Astyanax mexicanus: one gene and its partners. The main gene of each other region encodes a partner of the protein of the gene in region 3 in a complex. Links are inferred from orthologs where the notes say so. Each region holds a gene or a part of one and is shown on either strand. Other genes may lie near its edges.

Evidence for each region.
Region 1: the proteins of ptpn23a (region 3) and zfyve16 are in contact, whole or in part, in a crystal structure (PDB 5MK0), measured with the Homo sapiens proteins. The link is inferred for Astyanax mexicanus from reciprocal best matches to the Homo sapiens genes PTPN23 and ZFYVE16. Residues at the interface, in NP_056281.1 of Homo sapiens: Phe62, His125, Glu137, Glu138, Lys141, Val142, Cys144, Thr145, His146, Gln148, Cys149, Leu189, Lys192, Ser193, Asp196, Arg198, Lys199, Phe201, Leu202, Arg205, Ile206, Ala336, Leu338, Leu342, Asp348, Ala350, Val351; in NP_001098721.2 of Homo sapiens: Asp2, Tyr4, Phe5, Ala8, Val9, Leu12, Asp13, Leu15, Leu16, Asp17, Phe19, Glu20, Gln21.
Region 2: the proteins of ptpn23a (region 3) and zfyve9a are in contact, whole or in part, in a crystal structure (PDB 5MJY), measured with the Homo sapiens proteins. The link is inferred for Astyanax mexicanus from reciprocal best matches to the Homo sapiens genes PTPN23 and ZFYVE9. Residues at the interface, in NP_056281.1 of Homo sapiens: Phe62, His125, Glu137, Lys141, Val142, Cys144, Thr145, His146, Gln148, Cys149, Leu189, Lys192, Ser193, Asp196, Arg198, Lys199, Leu202, Arg205, Ile206, Ala336, Leu338, Leu342, Asp348, Ala350, Val351; in NP_004790.2 of Homo sapiens: Glu2, Tyr4, Phe5, Gln6, Glu8, Ala9, Leu12, Asp13, Val15, Leu16, Asp17, Phe19, Glu20.

Annotation. Positions count from the first base shown.
Region 1 is NC_064427.1:615,877-623,293, forward strand, and holds the start of zfyve16 (zinc finger FYVE domain-containing protein 16), read left to right. Parts: upstream 1-4,327; 5' UTR 4,328-4,509; intron 4,510-6,372; 5' UTR 6,373-6,403; coding exon 6,404-6,473; intron 6,474-7,417.
Region 2 is NC_064411.1:57,255,060-57,262,255, reverse strand, and holds the start of zfyve9a (zinc finger FYVE domain-containing protein 9), read left to right. Parts: upstream 1-4,119; 5' UTR 4,120-4,378; intron 4,379-4,404; exon of another isoform or gene 4,405-7,196. UniProt on the Homo sapiens protein: Early endosomal protein that functions to recruit SMAD2/SMAD3 to intracellular membranes and to the TGF-beta receptor.
Region 3 is NC_064408.1:124,231,794-124,239,268, reverse strand, and holds the start of ptpn23a (tyrosine-protein phosphatase non-receptor type 23), read left to right. Parts: upstream 1-4,458; 5' UTR 4,459-4,597; coding exon 4,598-4,681; intron 4,682-7,475. UniProt on the Homo sapiens protein: Plays a role in sorting of endocytic ubiquitinated cargos into multivesicular bodies (MVBs) via its interaction with the ESCRT-I complex (endosomal sorting complex required for transport I), and possibly also other ESCRT complexes.

The DNA of each region.
Region 1 (7,417 bases), on a different chromosome or scaffold from region 3:
GATAATTCTGAAACAATATGTTGTGAACAATAAAAGAGAAAAATAATATAAACTAGAGCTGGGCTTTTACTAATTTTGGAATATTAAAAATATATTAAATACTGTTTTTCTTAGGAATCTGCTGTTACATTTGGCCAGAATGTCAAAATATTGACAGTTTTTTTGTGTATCATGACAATGTCTTAAAATATTGTGATACAATATGTTTTACAATATCGCTCAGCTTTAATTTAAAACCCAGGGAGAAAAATATATGTATTTTCTTATTATTATTTGAGATTATATGCTGACTTAAGTTTTATTGTTTTTTTCTAGATAAAAATAGTTTTTTTTCTTAGACACAGCGAACTATACACAAAACTATAAGATATTACACTTATTTATGTGAACTTAATATAGACACTAAATGTAAGATCACATCATTTTTCACCAGAAATTCAGTTGTGATGTATTATTTAGATTAGTGACTAACAGAAGGTTGATTTTATTCAGGAGCTGAGTTTCAGAAACAGGAGAAATCTGCAAAAATTTACTAAATTTCGCTCAAATTCAACAAAAAACTAAACCATGCCTAAACAGAACTACTGTACATGTGGGCAGATCTACTTTTCTGTGCGGAGGAAAGACCCCCCCACCTCCAGACCTCCTCCCACCTTCTCCTTCCCCTTCCTCTGGAATTCCACATTTCCACACGCTAATAAACAACATAAACAATGTAAATAACGTGTTTAATCTAATAACATTAAAATAATAAAGAGAGAAATAGCAGAAATAAGCAGGTCTACCGTCATTATTAAAAGTTTAAAACAGTCCAGTCTGCACTTTAATCTACATCCGCCCGCAGGCAGTCTGAAAAAGCGGGACCCGGTCAGATCCAGCGCCGTAATAATAAACAGCACAGCTCTAACTCATCCCTCCGCGCTCTTAAACACCATATAACCCGCTAACGCTGCGCTATAAAGTCTGATTTAGTGAAGTTAATGTGTTTATATAAAGGTATTTACCTGTACAGGTTGGATTCAGGTGTTTAAGCGCTGTATTTTCTCTGTTCTCGGGGTTTATAAGTTAGCAGCAGCAGCAGCAGCTCAGCCAGAGGTTTGGAAACTCGAACCACGTGACCGGCCGATCCCTGCCTCTGACGTCACGGACTGAAACTCTGTACCTGAAGCGGGAAGTGAAGAAGCTCCGCCCCAAAACTGATGATTAAACTCCGCATGTCTTACCTGTTACCTGTGTTATCCGTGTATGTCTACCTTCACACAGCAGGTAAAATTGGCCAAATTCTACGTTTATTTTAGGCTGTTTGTGTGCATGACAGAGCAATGCTTCACGTTAAGATTCACTTTAATCCAGAATAACATAAATCACAATCACACAAGCTATGAATAAGTTCAGCTGCAAAAAAGTGGCCTTTTTGTCGCTTCACCTATAAAAGTCGTAAAAATTCCGATCTGCCCGTTCACACTGAGTTGCAATGGAGCAAATCGGACATGTATTGGATTTCAATACCACATATGAAGTGGCCCAGATCAGAATTGTATCACATACGATATAAATATGATGTTAAGGTCAGATTTGGGCCACATTTACCTGCTGTGTGAACAAAGCCCTATTATTTGTGGTAGTCAAGTCAAGTCAAGTCGAGAGGCTTTTATTGTCATTATATCTGAGTACACAGTGTTGTGAAATTACATTCCTCCGGAACCACGGTGCAACACGGGACAACAAACAATAGACAACATAGTGTCTGTATTACAGCTAGATGTAGATGTTTGATAAAGAATTTACTTGTTTATGTAATAACTTGTTTCTATTATTTGTTGCATGCTACTTATTTTGTGCATGGGCACCGCTTAAAAGCTCTTTAGCTTCTTAGGGTGTCCCTTTTCACATAATTTAATTGTTAAAAATTGCTTTGACACTTGTTGCTTAAACAGATGTGTGATTAAAAGCATGATAGATACTTGTTACTTGGCCTGATCAGCTTATTATAGAGTTATATTAGATGAAGCTGTGATGTTGAGAGTAATAGAGGGGTTTCTCTGCGTGTTTATAATCAGTATTTACAGTATGTAGGTCACTGGCCCTGATTATGGCTTTCTTAATCTGTTATGGCTGGACATCATTTTTCCAGCAGCCCTGGATCTCTCATATTTCTGTAAAGTGGACCAGCTCTGATCCCACTCTCAGCTCTTTAAACAGAAAACTCTATAATAATCTTTTTATCAGGATGGGTGTGTCTGTGCTGAGAAAATTACTGCAGCTAATAAAGATGTAGGATAGGGACTACATTGCTTTGCTTAACACACAAACACACACACTGGTTTTGTTTTTTTTGTGAGGACTTTTCCACTCACATCTTCACTCTTTTTTTTTTTTAAACAATATTTGTATATTTATGTATATATATGTTATATATATATATGCTAATGCTAGAAATGACCTGCACTGGAGCTCAGTGTTGTTGCAGTTTATCACCTGGCCTGCAGAGGGCAGCAGTTTAGTCCTTTTAGACTTGTCATGTCATTCTTACTCATTATTTAGAGTTATTAAGTCACTATTTGGAGACATTAGCTCGTTATTTCTGTATAATATCAAATATGTTCGAGATAATATGTTTTTGTTTCAGATATTGACATGTTTTGAGAAATTACCATTTTGAGATGCAGTATTTTTAGGCATTATTTTGAGTTTAAAACCTAAATCTATTAATTCTGAGATATCATATCGTAGTTTTGAGATATTGTCATTATTAAGAGATAACAAAATAATAAATACAGCACGTATTTATTTCCTGCCTGCTGTTATACAAAATCTATAAATTATATTAGTTGAAATTTGTGCACACATTTGCCTATTTCTGTGAAAATTATAGCATAGTCGTGCATTATTAGTATAGAACATTCTATTTAATTCAAAAGCCAATATAGTTTAAATTTGATTAGCTTTTTACGAAAAATCCTGGAAAGTTTAAAGATAGATAGAAATATGAACATAAAATCATAAAAAAATGTATTATTATATATTATGATATAGTATAGATTGTGGGGAAATGTACTCATCTGTAGAACATGATCAAATACAAAATCTAAAGGATCTTTTACAACAATGTTTTGTTTCCACTGCTCTTTTAGTTTATTAGATTATTAAACGTAAAATCCTGTAATCTTACTGTACCACTTCAGTCCACAAGCTTCTCTCACATCCAGGGATGCATTTCTTTGCATTTCTGCTTGTCTAGAAATGCATGTGTACAGCATGTCCTTAAGGGGTGGCTCTAAGCATGAGTTACAGTTTCAATTTAGTTTATTATGATTTTTGGTGTTTTACTGGGAAGGCCTCTCAGAAATGGAACACAGATTCTATATTCAGAATATTTGGCACCAATAATAAAATCCTTTTCCAAATATACATGGAAAATACTGAATAAATGATTGACGGCACATTTACAGTATATAGTGCTGGCTGCCCATATCAGTGCTGATTACAAAACACCTCTATCACTACTGACCTCCATTGTTTATCACAGAATAATAAAAGATTCAGCAGGGAGTGGAGATTTATAAGGTTATAAGGCCCTATGTCTCTGCAAACCATCACAGATTGGTGGAAACTCGAGCAGTTTGGACTGTGTGTCTCTCCACTCTTCCTCCAGACTCTGCTCCCTTAACTTCCTTTAAATAAAATGTAGAATTTACTGATGATCAGTGATGGTTTGGAGAGACATGTCTGTCATCTGCTGGTGTTGATCCACTGTGTTTTATTATCAAGTCTAAAGTCAGTGCAGTTTTGTTTTCCCACAAAATCTTACAGCTCTTCATATCTTACAGCTTCCCTCTGCTAAAAACAACTTTTATGGAGATGAGGATTTCATTTTCCAGCAGGACTTGGCACACTGCCCACACTGCCAAAAGTACCAATTGGTCTTATATAATATTCTAATTTTCTGAGACACTGATTTTATGGGTTTTCATTGGCTTTAAGCTTCATAATCATCAACAATAAAAGAATAGATCACTCTGTGTGTAATACATCTATATAATAAGCTTCACATTTTCAACTGAATTACTGAAATTTATTAATTTGTTTATATTAGTGTAGTATGTGTATGTATGAGTGAGTATATATGTGTTTATTTTAGTTTAGTGTCTGTGTGTTTATAAGTGTGTAAATATATATATATATATATATATATATATATATATATATATATATATATATATATATATATATATATATATATATATATATATATTGTGTGTGTGTGTCTGTGTGTGTGTGTTTATATTAGTTTAGTATTTATGTGTTTATGGGGACGCTGTAGCTTTAAGGGAGTTGCTAACCTGCTAGCGGGAGCACACCGGCGCTCTTACAGCAGCAGAACTGGAGCAGCTGCGGGATTTCTGAGGAATAAACCCGCTGTTAGCCGCTGTCCGCCCCTTCAGAACCGAACCGAGTGGACCTGGCACCGCTCTGAGGACCGGGGACTGAACTATGAGGCATTTTACGGTAGATATCCCGCGGAACCGGGGCGGAGATCTGACCGGGGCTGTTTGGGTGAACGGTTAGCCGGTTAGCCGCTAACAGCTAACCCGGGTTATTTAATGCTGAGTGTAGCTCAGTTAGCCGCGCTAAGCTAACCTACTGCTAACTGTCCTGCTTCAGCTAGCGACAGATTTATCTCCAAACAGCTAACCCAGACAAATAACACTATTTAATAACATTACTTATATTTAAGTATTTATTCAGGATCAGACAGTACATATTAATACATATTACTACATATGTGTGTATGTGAGTGTGTATATATTAACCTATACAAGCTGTATCTGTGTGTTTATATTAGTTTAGTATCTGTGTTTACGAAAGTGTGTATATACGTGTGTATGTTCAGTACATTAGTTTAGTAGCAGTGTTTACAAGAGTGTATATAAGTTACAGCTCTGTAAAAATAAAGAGACCCCTTCAGTTTCTGAATCAGTTTCTCTGATTTTGCTATTTATAGGTTTATGTTTGAGTAAAATGAACATTGTTGTTTTATTCTATAAACTACAGACAACATTTCTCCCAAATTCCAAATAAATATATTCTCATTTAGAGCATTTATTTACAGAAAATGAGAAATGGCTGAAATAACAAAAAAAAAAAAGATGCAGAGCTTTCAGACCTCAAATAATGCAAAGAAAACAAGTTCATATTCATAAAGTTTAAAAAGGGATAATTTTATGCCACTTCTAATGGTTGTGATCATCCATCTTCCTCTTAATTATTTCCAGAGCTGTATGTGTGTTTATAGTATTTGTTTTAACATTAGACCTGTTTAGTTCATTATTTAGGGTTAATCAACGGTTTCCTCTGACTCACACTGCTGTGATTTAGCTGGAGATGTTTAGTTTAATATTTTACCTGCTGATAAACATCTTTCTGATTGTGTTGTTGTTCAGTTCGCCTCTAAAGTAAAGGGGAATCTGATGTCCAGCTGACTGACTCACTGACTGACTGACTGACTTCGTAGTTAATTAACCCCAACCTTCCTCCAGTTCTCTATTATTAGCAGAGAAGTTGTTAAAGCTCAGCCTGGAAGAGGTTCTGGCTGTAGCTCCGTGAGGAAAAGAAGATTATCTGAATTTAGAAAGCTTGCTGCACTAAATGTTTGATGAAGAAACCCAAAAAAACACAAAACATTTCCAAAATTAGCTATACTGTAGGTCCAGTGATCAGGAGTTGACAGTTCAATAGCTGGTAACAGTATAATAAATTATTAATATTAGCTATTACAGTTTTTGTTTGAATGGCAACTATGCAGTGAACTAGGTTAACTAAGATAGCTATTATATTAAGGAGAGAAAACCATCCTGTCCAGTAGGGTAAAAAAAATAACAGGTAAAAAAAACAAAATAGAGATAATAGATCTATGGAAACTAATAAAAATAAATAAAAAATGGCTTAAATCAATACATCTCCATGTAGCGTGGCCCTTTTCATGCATACAATAAATATGTCAGGAAGTATTGGGTAGAAATATGTAGACCTCGGCCCAATGCTGGTGAATTTTTTGCTGATCTCGATATAATTACGATATAATTGTGCGTCTCTAATTATGTTACAGTATTGTCAGTATGTGAGTGGCATAAAATGACATAAAGATTGACTAGAAAAGTAGGAATTGAATTGTAGGAACAGATTTTAAACCACATTAGCCATAATAGACCATCTGAAACTAGCTACCAAAGCTGCTTTTGAGCTGGATTTTTAGACTTCAGGCTATCAAGATAACTAGTTTTTTGTAAGATATACATTAAATGTTATGTTGTAGGATATGATCATGACATGTCTTAACTTCTGAATCCATGTGTTCACCTCTTTCCACAGGGGTGATAGACGCATATAGTTGCCCTATAGGATGGACAGCTATTTTAAAGCTGCTGTGTGTGACCTGGACAAGCTTTTGGACGACTTTGAGCTGAACTCAGGTGAGATGATCTCCTCTTCTTTCATTGTAGTGTAGCGTACTGTGTTGTACTTTAGTGTAGCATAGTGTACTGTAGTGTAGTGTACTGTAGTGTAGTGTAGTGGAGTGTATTGTACTGTAGTGTACTGTAGTGTAGTGTAGTGTACTGTACTGTAGTGTACTGTACTGTAGTGTACTGTAGTGTAGTGTAGTGTAGTGTAGTGTAGTGTAGTGTAGTGTAGTAACCCGTGGGAGAATGAGAACATGCAGCAGTTCTGTTGTGATTAATTACCGTGTCCACTCTGAAGACACAGTTATTGTCCTTTATTGAACCCAGAGTTTGTATGGAGACTAACGTGCTTATTGCAGAACAGCAGCGCTGAGGTATTCATAATAACTGCTGAGGTCGGAGAGCACTTAATAGCATTGTTCACAACTGGCCTTGTGTGGTCTGTTAAATGGATGGTCTGTTAAAGTACACGTGCGAGTAAGTTTTTTTTGAGATCTTTGTTAAGATGACGGTACCTACATAGAAAATATATCTGCACTGTTCTCAGTATAAACTCAATTTTGTGGTTTGGATCGTTGCCTCGCCAGAAAATCAATCGGCAGCCCAATTTTAGCTGCCTGACCGAGGGAGTCCGTTTTCATCCTATGCTGCCCCAGAACTTAACACTGTCTATATTATCATGTAATTTAAATAATTAAATAAAAGTCCTTTTATACAGCTTTGAAGTTTTTGAATCAGTTTCTCTGATTTTGCTATTTATAGGTTCATGTTTGAGTATAATTAACATAATAACCTGGTGGTTTTTAATCACAGTTTTCATGCATCTTTGCATCATGTTCTCCTCCACCAGTCTTACACACTGCTTTTGGATAACTTTATGCTGCTTTACTCCTGGTGCAAAAATTCAAGCAGTTCATGTATATATATACACGTAGTTCAATTACAGTCAGTAATGA
Region 2 (7,196 bases), on a different chromosome or scaffold from region 3:
CTAGTTAATAGGTTTTTACGTATATACATATCTATTAGGGGTGTGTCATATCGTAAGGAATAATATCACCAACATTTTTGAATATCGTGAACGATATTATACCCTGAAATATCATACCATATCACGCATCCCTAATTATCACATCAGGGTTCTACTTTTTTTTTTTTTTACTGTTTTTATCAAAAGAAAAATTCACACTGTTCTTATTTCCCATTATATATCTACTAGAGACAGATTATATCTGTGCAGTATCATTTATTTTACTTTAATCCTGGATATATGGAGATATTTGGAGTGTATTATTATTAGAATCATGACATTCTGTCAAGCCTTATTGACTTCTGTTACAAATCTGATAAAAATCTTGTATTTGTTAATATCTCGGTTAGGGGTGTGCCATATCATATCGTATACAATAATAAAATTTAATTTTCATTTTGTTGCAGTAGTGTATTCTTGAAATAATTTTTTATTTAGTATTTTGACATATCGCCAAGAGTATAGTCATTACAAAAAAACATAAAATATTGTCATATTATTTATTATTTTAGGGCCATATCGCCCACCTCTAATATGGGATTGCAGGGCTTTTTGACTACTATTTGGTTAATATATTTCTGGCAAAATCACAAAAGTTTTACATGGAAAATGCAGATATGTAGGTTTCTAACATATCTAAAGCCTATAACTTAAAAAAGCTAGCTAGCTAACTAGTCAATGACATTTGTTTACCTTAAATAAAATAAATAAAATAAAAAGTATATTTCAGGAGTTATAAAATATGCTTTATGCTAACTTTACGATTTATTAAAGCGAAATATCTTCAGTTATCTAGCTTTCTTTCCTAGAAAAGCCATAGTTAAGTGCTGTGAAAACTGCGGTATAAAATTAGCAAACTTAGCTGACAGTTTGACCTCAGAACTGAATTCCCGCGCTTTTATATGAACAGCGCGTGACCCCGGCGCGTGACTCTGGGCTCGTGACCCACTGCGCAGATCCGCTGATCTGTAGCTCATATTATGCACCACGTCTTGGCGATTATGATTTATAGATCATTAGATCTGCCGTCTGGATTTAAAATTAGGGATTTTTTATGATTTTTTTTTATGTAAAAGGCACAATAATATCTGACTGTAAATAAAATGTATGTAAATACAAAAATAAATATAAAAATGTAAAAAAAAAAAAAAGATAACTAAAATGCTCATATGGCCTCCATCATTTCTATAAACTAATAAACATTTCAACACTTTCTTAAAATAAACTAATTTTATCAAATGTTTCAGGTAAAAGACAAAAATGTAGAGATTAAATAATTTTCTAGAGTTTAGATGTTTTTAATTGTTCTATAAGAAGGAAAACCAATACTACTTTTAAATCTTTACTAATAAGTTGTGCAATGGATTCTACTAGTTTTTATATGCAGATCCAAATGTGCAGTATACTGTATATACAGTTTGGTTATTTTAATATAAAGTTAATTATACGTTTTAAAATGTAAAAAAAAAACAGGTTGAACATGATGTATAGATCATTAAATCTGACATCTGGGTTTAAAATGAGGGATTTTTATGATTCTTTGTTAATGTGAAGAGCACAATAATATCTGACTGCTAATAATATTTATGTAATTAAAAAAATAAATATCAAAGATTCGAAAAATGTGGCCTCCATTATTTCTACAACCTACTAAAATTTCGACATCTTCCTAAAATAAACTAATTGTTTTTACCCAAAAATGTACCAAATATTATGGCATAAAAGTATTTTTCTAGAGGTTAGATGTTTTAAATTGTTCTATAGAAAGAAAACCAATACTACTTTTAACTTTTCATCAAACAACATGTATTCTATTGCTTTTTATACAGATCCAAATGTGGCGTATACTGTGAATAGAGTATTGTGATTTTAAAATAAAGTTAATTTTTATATAAACAAGTTTTAAAATGGTAAAAAAAATTTTTTGAGTATACTTCATTTTGTTCTGTGTAATTTCTCATTTCTGGTGTCATTTAATTAATTGTATCCCTGTCATCCATATTTATTCAGTGGGCGTTACTGTTTAGTTTACAATGCAGCTCCAGACTTCACAAATAACTAATTAATATTCTAGAATAAAATTACCTCCAAAGGCTGTGGTATTGAATATAGGACTGGTAACTCTGATAAACTTATTCTGTGCAACAGAGGGAACTCTTGCTCTTGATAAGTGCCAGTTTCATCATAAGGTTTCTGGTGGTCTTTGCGACTGCACTTTGTACTTTCAGTTCTTGACATTTTTCAGACTGCCTGACCCTCATATGTTTTTCTTCATAGTTTGGATGACTTTAGTATTAATCTACAATGCAGAACATTTTAAAATGATGTGAAAACACTGAATTTACAGTGTGTATGAATTCTGTGTGTATTTTGATTCTGCATATTTCTCCTTTCTGGTATAATGATTAATGATTATATTCTATGTTGTTATACGTTACATAACTTTTTGAAAAAAAAATGTAATACTTAGTAACTTATTAATATTTCAGGATAAAAATTACCTTCAAAGGCTGTGGTCTCGAATATAGGGCTGGTAACTTTGATGAACCTATTCTGTGCAACAAAGGAAATTCTTGCTCTCTTGTTTTCTTGGGGCAGTCCTGATGAGAGCCAGTTTCATCATCATAATGTTTTTGATGGTCTTTGTGGTGACTGAAATGGAGGATACCTTCAGTTCTTTAACATGTTTTTGTTCATAGTTTGGATGAGTTTAGTATTAATCTATCTACAGTACAGAACATTTCAAAATGATGAAAAATGATGAAAAAACACTGAATTTAAGGTGTGTGTGCCAACTTTTGACTGATTTAGTATCCTGTATGTCCTTTTTTTCTGCATATTTTCTGTATTTTGTTTTCTGATATCAATTAATAATTATATTTTAAGTTCTCAAAGTCAAAGTCAAAGTCAAAGTGGTTTTTATTGTCATTTCAGCTATATAAAGAGTACACAGTGAAACGAAACAACGTTCCTCCAGGGACCATGGTGCACATAAACACAGTGTAGACAGAACAATAGTGCAACAGTACAAAAGTGCAGACAGACAATACAACACCATACAGACAAAGAATAATAAATAACAAGACAGTGTGCAAATTATGCAGTGTGCAAAAAAGACCAGGTGAGGTAGTAATTACCTCTATTACACAGTGTGCAATAGAGTCCAGTGAGGTAGTAGGGTTTTTAGTGCTTTCCATTTTCTGGGGTAAGTGGGGTAAGAGTGTGTGTGTGCATGTACAGAAAAACCATCAGTTCAGTCTTTGCAGTTAAGGAGTCTGATGGCTTGGGGGTAGAAGCTGTTGCAGAATCTGGTCGTGCTGGACCGGATGCTGCGGTACCTTCTTCCCGAAGGCAGGAGGGAGAACAGTTCGTGTGAGGGATGGGTGGGGTCATTCACAATGCTGGTTGCTTTGCGGATGCTGCGGGTGGTGTAAATGTCCGTGATGGAGGGGAGAGAGACGCCGATGATCCTCTCAGCTGTCCTCACAATACGCTGGAGGGTCTTGCGGTCAGAGACGGTGCAGGTCCCAAACCAGGCAGTGATGCAGCTGCTCAGGATGCTCTCAATGGTCCCTCTATAGAAGAGTGTGAGGATGGGTGGAGGGAGACGGGCCTTTCTCAGCTTCCGGAGGAAGTAGAGACGCTGCTGGGCTTTCTTGGCTGTAGAGCTGGTGTTCAGGGTCCAGGTGAGGTTATCTGCTAAGTGGACACCAAGGAACTTGGTGCTCTTAACAATCTCCACAGAGGACCCGTCGATGTTGAGTGGAGAGTGGGTGTGTTGTGCTCTCCTGAAGTCAACAACCATTTCCTTTGTCTTGTCCACATTCAGGTGAAGGTTGTTGACTGTAAACCAGTCTGTCAGTTATACGTTACATAACTTTTTGAACGAAATAATAAAATGAATATATAATAACTTATTATTATTCCAGAATAAAAAAATACTTTCAAACATTGCCAATATTTGTAAGCACCGCCTCCTTTTCAACCCCACGCCCACAACCCCGCCCACGGGCGGAGCCAAATGCGTCACTCCTCGGCTTACAACCTACAAAGCAGTGAGTAATTACTCCAGGCCCCGCCCCTTTCTGATGCCGCGCTGTAGCAGCGCTGCCTCGCGCTCCCCGCTCTAGTTTAGAGGCCATCTTTACAGCCCGTGGGCCTGCAGCGGAGAACCGGAGACCCGCGGAGCGTCCACGCAGCTCAGCCGCCGCAGGGTGAGCTCAGAGCGGCCACAGCGGCTGGATCGCCCCGCTGAAGGAGCCGGAGCTGGAGGAGGAGCTGGAGCTGCTGCATGGCTGCGCTGCGCTGTGAGTGACTGAGGATGGCCACTGCAGCTGCGGTGAGTTAGTTAGAGAGCCAGGCAGCCTGGCACACTGATAATCGATCGTTTTCCGATAGATGATCAATCGATTTGATTAATTTTAATCCCCGGATCACCTTCACGGTGTCATTTTACACAGAGAAAGAGAGGCTGCAGCAGAACAACACAGGCTCTCACCCTGCTTTACTGCTGGATTTCTCAACAATCCGGATCATTAGCTGGAATAATTCGCTTTAAATCCACATTTTTAAACATTTTACATCCTTATTAACATACCACACAAGCTCCAAACCCTTTAAAACAGCCTGTTTTTATGTGATCAGCTGTAGAAAACGCTCAGGAAGAGGTCAAGCTCCAGCCAAAGTTTATTTACTCTAGCTCTAAGCTAGGCTATAACTGGCTAATGCTGTGGTGCAACACTGTTATCTAGAGGTTAAACCCTTTTAAAACCTTTTTAAACCCTTTAAAATGCTTTATTTTACTGCGTAGAACTAATTGTAAGTGTTTACTAAGGCTGTAAATGTTTATTATCTGGTTTCCAGGTTTTGATCCATGATAATACCATGCTATTTTGAAGTTGGATGCTATCCATGCTGTGGAATATGGAGCTCAACTGTTACATAGTTTTATCTTTTAGGTTTGACGTTTAAAAAAATAGTATACCAGTAATCAATTATGTATTGTTTGCATACACTGTAGTAGTACTACAGTAATCACACCCTGAATAAGGGCTGCAACTCATGATTAATTTGTTAGACAGCTAATCTGATGATTGTGTTGTTTGTTATTTTGAAGTTGGATGTCATCCCTGCTGTGGAATATGGAGCTCAACTGTTATTTCTTGTTCTCGTTTTATCTCTAGAAACAGCTGAAATGGGATTTAAATTCCCTTAAATTGTCCAAAACGTTGCTCTTTAAATGTGGAAAGTGCTGCTATTTATTGAGGAAATGTGTATTCTGTTGAATTTGGGCCCTTTTGGAGACGTAGACAGAGTTGAGTGTAAACTGTTTGATTTACCCAGTACTGTTTTACTGAATAGAACTACTTTTAAGTGTCTACTATGGCTACAAATGTTTATTAACTGGTTTCCATGCTGTCATCCATGATAATGCCATGCTATTTTGAAGTTGGGTGCCATCCATGCTGTGGAATATGGAGCTCAATTGTTACTTCTTACATAGTTTTATCTCTTAGGTTTGACATTTAAATTTTAGAGTACGGTAACCAATAATGTATATTTGAATACACTGTAGTAGTACTACAGTAATCACACACTGCTGAATACGTGGCTGCAATTAGGGCTGCAACTAATGATAATTTTGGTAGTTGACTGATTTGACTATTATTTTCCTGATTAGTCGATTTGTAGATTATTTCTGCTTCCTCTGGGAATGGCTTCGGTTTATAGCTTCCTCTGTCTTCGCTTCAAATCGCTAGAAACAGCTGAACAAGGGATTTAAATACACTTTAAATGTGGAAAGTGCTGCTATTTATTGAGGAAATGTGTATTCTGTTGAATTTGGGCCCTTTTGGAGACATGTTGAGTGTAAACTGTTTGAGTGTCCCCAGTACTGTTTTGCTAAATAGAACTACTTTTAAGTGTCCGCTAAGGTTACAGATGTTTATTAACTGGTTTCCATGCTTCGATCCATGATAATACCATGTTATTCTGAATTATTTTGAAGTTGGATGCCATCCATCTTGTGGAATATGGAGCTCAACTGTTATATCTTTTTATTAGGTTTGATATTTTAATTTTAGTATACGTATTGTACAGTAATCAATATTGTATATTCGCATGCACTGTAGTAGTACTACAGTAATCACACACTGAATTAGGGCTGCAACTAATGATCAATTTGGTAGATGGCTGCAACTATTGAATATTTTGTTCGTCTACTTATCTGGCGATTATTTTTTCCGATTAGTTAACGATTATTTCTGCTTGCTCTGGGTATGGTTCCTGTTTCTAGCTTTCTCTGTCTTCGCTTCAAATCGATAGAAACAGCTGAACAAGGGATTCAAATGCCTTTCAAATGTCCAGAACGTTGCCCTTTAAATGTTTAAAAATGCTGCTATTTATCGAGGAAATGTGTTGAGGTAACCTGTTGAATTTGGGCACATTTTGAGACACACAAAAAAAAGAAGGAATAAAGTGTTGTTTGATTAATAATTTAAACAATACTCAATTATTGATGTGTTCTTCAGCATGCTAACGCTAGGTGACAAAGATCACCACCTCTAAGCTATTTACGTGCCGTTAAAATTACTGCAATCAGTTAAATCAAACAGATAAGATGTAAACTAGGCCCAAAGCAATAGTTACATCAGTGAGTTATCATAAAATAAACATGCAAACATAATCTCAGTAAAAATCCACAACAACACTGTTTAATACCGTAATATGAGATTGCTGTGTTTAATACTAATAATCCTTGCTTAAAAAGCCTGTGGGTGGATATATTTATGGATGTATACATGTATTGATGAGTACATTCATGTCTGGATAGAAATATTAGTAAATATATTGACCAATATACAGTATAGGTGGATGTACTGTTGGGTAAATCAATGTATTTATGGATGGAATTGTGTAGAAAAGTATACTGATGGTTGGTTGGATATATCAATGGATACATGGATGGAAGGATGGATATATTGAAATACAGATGCATGGACAAATAAAAATGGCTATATACTGTAGGTATCAAAATATATGTTTTGATTAAGACTGTATTTAGGTGTATGTACTGATGGCAGAATCTACATATAGTAGTCATAGGATACAAATTTGTATGGATGGATGGTTGGATGGATATGTTGGAAAAATCAATG
Region 3 (7,475 bases):
ATACAGCAGTGGCGGCCCCGGTAGTCATTAACTGACAAATGATGAATTTGACAGAGTGGAAATAATTACCAGTCTATAGTTATACAGTCATAAATACACTTGATATGCTCTCATATGTTCTACATCTCAATATTGTTCAAACATAGCACAGATGTCCATATATTTAAATAGAGTATGTTCAAAAATACAAAGGTTTTCAGCGCTGGTTCTAATATTTTTTACAATACTTATTATAGACACATAAAAGTTCAAAGAAATGACTGGAAATTTACCATCACAATAACATTCACATTTAAACACTACTTTATACACTAAATTTGTAAGATTGTTTAGCTCAGAGATGATGTACTATTGGTGTTTTTTTTAGTTTAAATGATGAGAAGGTTTATGTTAAGTGAATATTTACCTCCTATTTGAAGAGTCACTCCAGCATATGCTGTCCATCGGCCACCTGTCACATTAGTTCTGAATCTGAATTTATACTCTGCAGAATGGCTGAACTGTACATTACTGATTAATAAAGTACAGTCTGACTGTTTGTTTCCAATGTACTTAAATCCTTCTGAAGCGCTGTTAGAGCTGCTGTCATAAACATACGGTGGATCAGCACACCATCCTTCATTCGAGTTCATTGAGCACCAACGGACTGTTTCCACTTCATGTGAAGAAGGATAGGAATAAGAGCAGGGAATCCTAACATTCGATCCTCTCACAGCACAGATCGGTCCAGGATAGTTCACACCAAAGAAACTGCTGTCTGACTGAAAACCTGAAAAACATTCAATGGAAAACATAAAACAAACTGAAAAAAGTAATAAAATCACAACTGAAAAGATTAAAAGAATATAAAACTAGTAGGTGGTGTTTTTTTGGCAGGTAAATCATTTTTTCAAACCGATTCATGGTGGAGGGATACACACCAGTTGTTGTTTATCTCAAAACCCCACTATTAACAAGCACATTGTTTTTATTTATTTAAAGAGTGTGAGGCATCTGTGTAGTTTGAGTTGATTTTATAGACACAGTGCTGCAGTGAATTATGTTCACAGTTCACAGCCATTTCTAGGAAATGGGCAAGTATTAAACCACCAATACATTCGCTAATGCCGCCAGCCCAACAGTCCAAGCATACTTTTTAAAAGAATTATAAATTAAGTTGATGTTAAATTAAATTAAAACTTACTTGTGTTTTCATGAATGTGAATAACTATATATGATAAAGTACTACAACCTGCTATATAATTTGTTTTATGTCAGTAGAAGTAGTTTAAGTTGTAGGAGTAATGTTAATTCCTACTCTTTTTCATCTTACAATAAAAACAGCTTAATTTTACTTACTGAAGAAAAATATTTTCTTAGTGACGGCATGTAGTAAAACTCTTCTTTTTTATGACTTTTTTTTTTGCAAAACTTACAAAAATGCTTAGTGGGTTATACGTAAAAATATAGTGCAACATTTTTGCAACCTTATTATGAAGTAATGTCTGGTTTTAAGATTTTTATAAAAAAATGACCAATTTATACTTAAAAAAAATAAAGTTGCAAAAATGTTTAAGTAAAATTTGTACATAATGTTTTACCAACAATGTTGAATGTTCGTCATTTTTACGCCAAAAACAAAAAGGATAAAACCAACTGAATAAAAGCCTTAGAAAATTGGCTAGAGTGGTCTAATCTAATACTTTTGTTTGGAATCACCACCTCACTTCTCTCCCATCTCCCAAACACATCCAAATCATACAAATAAACTCGGGGCTTTAAACCCGTCTAGCCAGTGCCTGGCAAAGAGAAGGATTAGTAATGCTTACCGGTGAAATTGATCACAATAAGAACCAGAAGGTGCAGCCTTCCCATCCTTCCTCTGGAGCTCGAGCCTCTTCTCAACAGCTACTGAAGGTTCTGTGACTGTGTGAGATCTAAAGGCTGGTTACCAGGGTACAGCTATATATGTGTAAAAAACAAGTTTAGGCCCTAAATACCACAGGGCTGTGTTCATCATCACACCATCAGCAGTTAGAGTTGAAAAAGGAACTACCCTGTATGTTGACCACATCTGTTTTATTTACCACTGATGTGTGATTACTCAGTACAGTATGTTCAGAATATCACACTGATATAGTTCATATGAATTTTATGTTTACTGCAAACCTTTTGACAGTAATATAATCAGTGTGTTCATTGTACAGTGGCTTTGTTCTCACCTGACCACAAAACCTTCTTCCTCATGTTTGCTGTGTTCCTACATTACTTGTAGCTGCAAACCGCAAACTACAATTCTTAAGTTTTCTTTAAACAATGTTTTCTTTTTGCCACTCTTCCATAAAGACCAGATTTGTAGAGTGCATGACTATTAGTTGTCCTGTGGACAGATTCTCCTGATTCACCTGAGCTGTGGATCTCTGCAGCTCCTCCAGAGTGACCATGGGCTTCTCGGCTGCTTCTCTAACCAGTGCTCTCTTTGCTAGATCTGTCAGTTTGGGTGGACCATGGCCATGTCTTCATAGTTTTGTAGAAATAGAAGGTGTAGATTACTTTTTCTTTACTTTAATTTTGGATGATGGGTTGAGCAGAGCTCCTTGGGATGTTCAAAGCTTGGGATATGTTTTTGTAACTTCATCATTGACCTGTCTGGTGAGTTCCTTGGTCGTCTTGATGTTCTTTGTTCGCTAGTGTTTTCTAACAAACCACAGAGGTCTTCTCAGAACAGCTGTATTTATAATTTACTGAAACTAAATATATAAATTATAAATTTGCTCTATTATCAAATAGAAAATAAAAAGTGCAATCTGCAAAAGTATTTGGCCCCTTTTTAAGATGTGATAAAAACATCTATAAACAAGTAAAACCAGAGTATCTGTATGTGAAACTGAAACTCTGTAGAGTAGAAATTGGGTGATGTAGCAAGACAATGACCCAAACCACCGGAAGTCCACCCTAAGTACACAACACAACAGCTTAAGAAAAATCTGTCCTAAGTGTCTAAGTCAGAGCCCAGATCTTACCCTATAAAGATCATATTGAAGAAAATAAAGCAGTTATATAGGAACAATTGCCCAAAACTTGTCCTGAACATTTTTTTCTATAAGAAGTGCAGACACTGGAGCACTTAAACAATTCTATTCAAACACTCCTGCTTTGTCTGCCAGTGGATGAGGTTAAGTCTACATTTGAAGTCATTCTCTAAGTTTAGTAAAGATTTTCACTGTAAAATAAACTAATTTGATTTAATAATAATAAATAAATCATTTCAACATCTTCTGGAATTCTTCAGTACATACATGTTACAGGGAAACAATAGGATTTTCCAAAGTGGACTTAAAAAATGTTTCAAAGTTGGAGAGAAAGTGGGAAAGCCCTATGTTGACAACCAACATCGCTTAAACATGATGGTGGAAGGTTCTGAAATCTACCCCTTTGAGATTTTTTTCTTACATCTGAAGTTCCATGCCAAACACATTCAATGACACTGAGGTCTGGACTTGTCAGGACAATCCGTTGTCTAACAACAGAGGCAGCAGCTCCTGACTCCCAGTTACCGACTGAGTCAGATATTAAACATGTTGAATATTTTCTAGGTGCCCGTGACTGATAGGCAATCAAATATCTACGGCTTGGAGAGCGTCTTCCAGAAGTTCACACTCATTCATGTTGCATGTCCATGGATCAGATACGTATCTGATTTAGGACCACATATGGAAAGTTACGTTCACATTACCAGACTGTATATTTAAGTGACTTAAATATAATTTTTGCTCAATGTGGCTCAGGTCCGGCTTTTTCATGTCTGTGTAAACGTGCCAAATCTGATTTTTTCAATTCAGATTCAAGTCACTATCATCTGAGGTCCTAAATCTGATACGTATCCAATTCACGGACATGTGACATGAATGTGAACGGTCAAATCATAACGGTGTAATTTATGCGTCTTTTTGTTTTTACGCATGTGCTACTAGCTTCTCTCTCGCACCCACACATGTCTTGTTGCAGCTGTGCATCTATAGCTGCAAAAACAGCAAAAGCAAAATGCCTGGCATTTTTTCATGAACTTCAGAGCAGCTGTTTACTCTCCACTCCAGCAAAAGATGCTCCACATATGAGCTCCTAACAAACGCATCCATTTCCTTTTATAAAGCTACGAGACGTTTTTTTTGATGGTGAGGAAAGAGATGTTTATTCACGTATCAATGTGCAGCATGTGAGGCGTTTCAGGGACAGATTCGTTCACATTACACACAGATACAGATCACTTAAAGATACAGATCACTTTGTGAATGTGAACCAGCAAGATAGACAAATCCGATCTGAGCAAAAAATCGGACTTGAGCAATTTGGCTTGCAATGTGAACAGATTTGGCACGTTCACACAGCCATGAAAAAATCAGATCTGGGCCACACTGAGCAATGTGAACGCAGCCTTAAGACTACATTACCCATAATGCACGTCGAGTCCACGCCCGACGTAATGTCCTAAACACTGGTGGTTTCCTATGGACATGACACAGTGGTTTAGAATAGGAGATAAACAGCGGAGTTCCGGATAAACCGCGCGTTATTCCCCCCCAATACCCGGCCGGACTGAACCCCGCAGCGGGCAGGCATGGAGGCGGTGCCGCGGATGCCGATGATCTGGCTGGATCTGAAAGAAGCTGGGGAGTTCGAGTTCGGCGCGGCGGTGAAGCAGGTGAGCAGCCGACGCAGAGGCACCGCGCCCCGGCAGGGAGTCACCGGGTCTCCCGCTGTACTTAACCCGGAGAACCGGGCAGCGGGCCTGGGCTGGACTACAGCCGGGGAAAGCGAGGGGGTCTCCGGCCTGAGCGGGGCTGGGAGCCACCGCTGCCGCTGGGGCTAATACCTGGATAATGCTCAAGCTAATGCTAAAGCTAACTAGCTTATCCTGCTATATAACTTAACCTGATTAATTAGCTTATTAGCTAACTAGCTACAGTGTTTTAGTGACTGTTTATACAGTTTATTTGAGATAATAACAGAACTCAGAAAGCGTTCTTAGCTAAAAGCTAACTAATTTAATAGTGATATATAACATATAAGCTTTACTTATTTAGCTTAACCAGGCCCAGAATCAAAGTAGTTAAAGTAACATTAGCCTAGCTAATATATAAACAACAGGTACTCTGAGTTCATCCTAAACTCAAAATTCACTTCAATTTTTAACATATTTAGAATTCCAAATACTATTGTCATGATACCTAAATACAAATATCTAAATATCTCAATACTGATATTGAGCAATACCACAGAAAAACAAATAAAAGATGTTTGTTCTTCATTCTAAGCAAGAACATAATGGGTTGAGTAGAATTGGTTCTTGAATCGAGTGCAAATTAGAATAAATGATTCTAAACATTGTTTAGAAGGCCAAGTTTTGATATGTGGCTCAATATGTGGATATGTGGATATATGAGCTGTTAAAAACATAAACACGGCCTCTGGAGAACTCAAGAGAAGACACAGAGATTTCCTCAGACGAACTGAGGAGAACTGAGAAAACTGAGAAATAAAGTCATAAACCAGGCACAGAAACTTAATGTAAAAGAAACTCTGATGGAGAGATTATTATTATTAGTGTTTACTCTATAGTAATTAACGCTAGCCTTTCTTTCTAGATCTTTTGTTGACATGATACCACAGTTGTGACTTTTGATGTGATATCTGCCTAAATATCTCAGTAACTAGTACTGAAACTATACTACGGCAAACCACGAAAAATATTTTCAATGTGACGGTGTTTGTTCTTAATTCCAAAAAAAAGCGTATCAAGTTTTTGGAATTTCATTGATTGATAACTTTGTATGTAAATGTAAATAGTGTTGTCTCAATACCAAAATTATGACTTTCTATGAATTTTGGCATATATGGATTTTCTTTGATAGTTAACTTTGTATGTGAGCTGTAAGGAAAGTGAAAAATAAGGCATTAAAAAGCTGGGAGACATTTAAAATTTAAATTCTGCTGGGATCTGTTTGGTGTTTGGACACTATGAGGAACTTTCACAATGGGAATCAATGATTCTTTTTTTTTATAATTTTATTTCTAATTTTTCCCATTTTCTCCCAATTTACACGGCCAATTACCCAACCCACTCATTAGGACTCCCCCTATCACTAGTGATACCTCAACACACCAGGAGGGTGAAGACTAACACATGCTTCCTCTGATACATGTGAAGTCAGCCACCGCTTCTTTTCGAGCTGCTGCTGATGGAGCATTACCGAGCAGCCAGCGAGCTTGGAGGAAAGCACAGCGGCTCGGCTCCGGTACATCAGCTCACAGACGCCCTGTGCTGCAGACATCACCCTAGGAGTGATGTGGGGAGAGAGCGCTCATAGTGGCAGCGCTTTAGACCGCTGGACCACTCGGCGCCCCGGAATCAATGATTCTAAACATTGTTTAGTAGCTCATGAGGCTCTGATCTGGTGTAAACATAAACACAGCCACTCGGAAACTCAAAGAAAACACAGAGCTCTCCTCAGACACTGGATTATACTTCAGAACTGAAAACTTAGAAATAAAGCAGTAAATCAGTCAGAAATTTACTGTGAAAGAAACTTTAATGGAGAGATTATTATTGAGTGTTTAATACAATAGATAAATAACAGTTGATATCAGGCTCTGAGCTTGTTTAAACACAGCATTGAGGCAATTGTGAGTTTTAAACTGTGAAGACAGCTAGGTGAATCCCAAGTAGTGTTTTGTCGCGATACCAAAATTATAACTTTTGATACAATACCTGCCTAAATATCTCAGTACTGATACTGAAACCATACCATGGTAAAAATACATAAAAAATGAACAATGTGACTATGTTTGTTCTTCATTCCAAGCAAGAACGTAACAAGTTTCTGGAATTTCCTTGATAGATAACTTTGTCTGTGAGCTGTCTAAGCAGAGAGCCCCTCCCAACCAGAAAACCAAACATCTGTAAGGTGTTTGGACACTTTAGGACGCTGTACGCTTGGTCAAAACGCTTTACGAGCTTGTAGAAGCCAAAGGAAAATAAGAAATTTAACTTAAAGATACCTGTGTAAATATCTCTAAACAGATACTGAAACTATGTAAAAGAAAAAAGCAAGAACGTAAAAAAAGTTTATAGAATTGCATTGATAGTCAACATTTAAAATTTGGAAGACATTTAAACCATAAAATCCGCTGATATTTTGTGAATTATCATGTGATCTGTTTGCTCTTTGGACTCTTTGAGGAACCTACACAATGCGTCGAGTGTAGAGTCGGCACTTATTGAGTGATTCACTTCAGGAATCGAGTGCAAATTTGAATCAATGATTCAAAACATTAAATCCTGTGTTTTATAAGGCTCTGGGCTGGTGTCAACACAGCTGTGGGGAAACTCAGATATGACACAGATCTCTTCTCAGACACTGGATTATATTTCAGAAAGAGGTTTGAGGATAAAGTATTATTTTAGGTTAAATGTGGGGCCCGGTGCTGCTTGGATT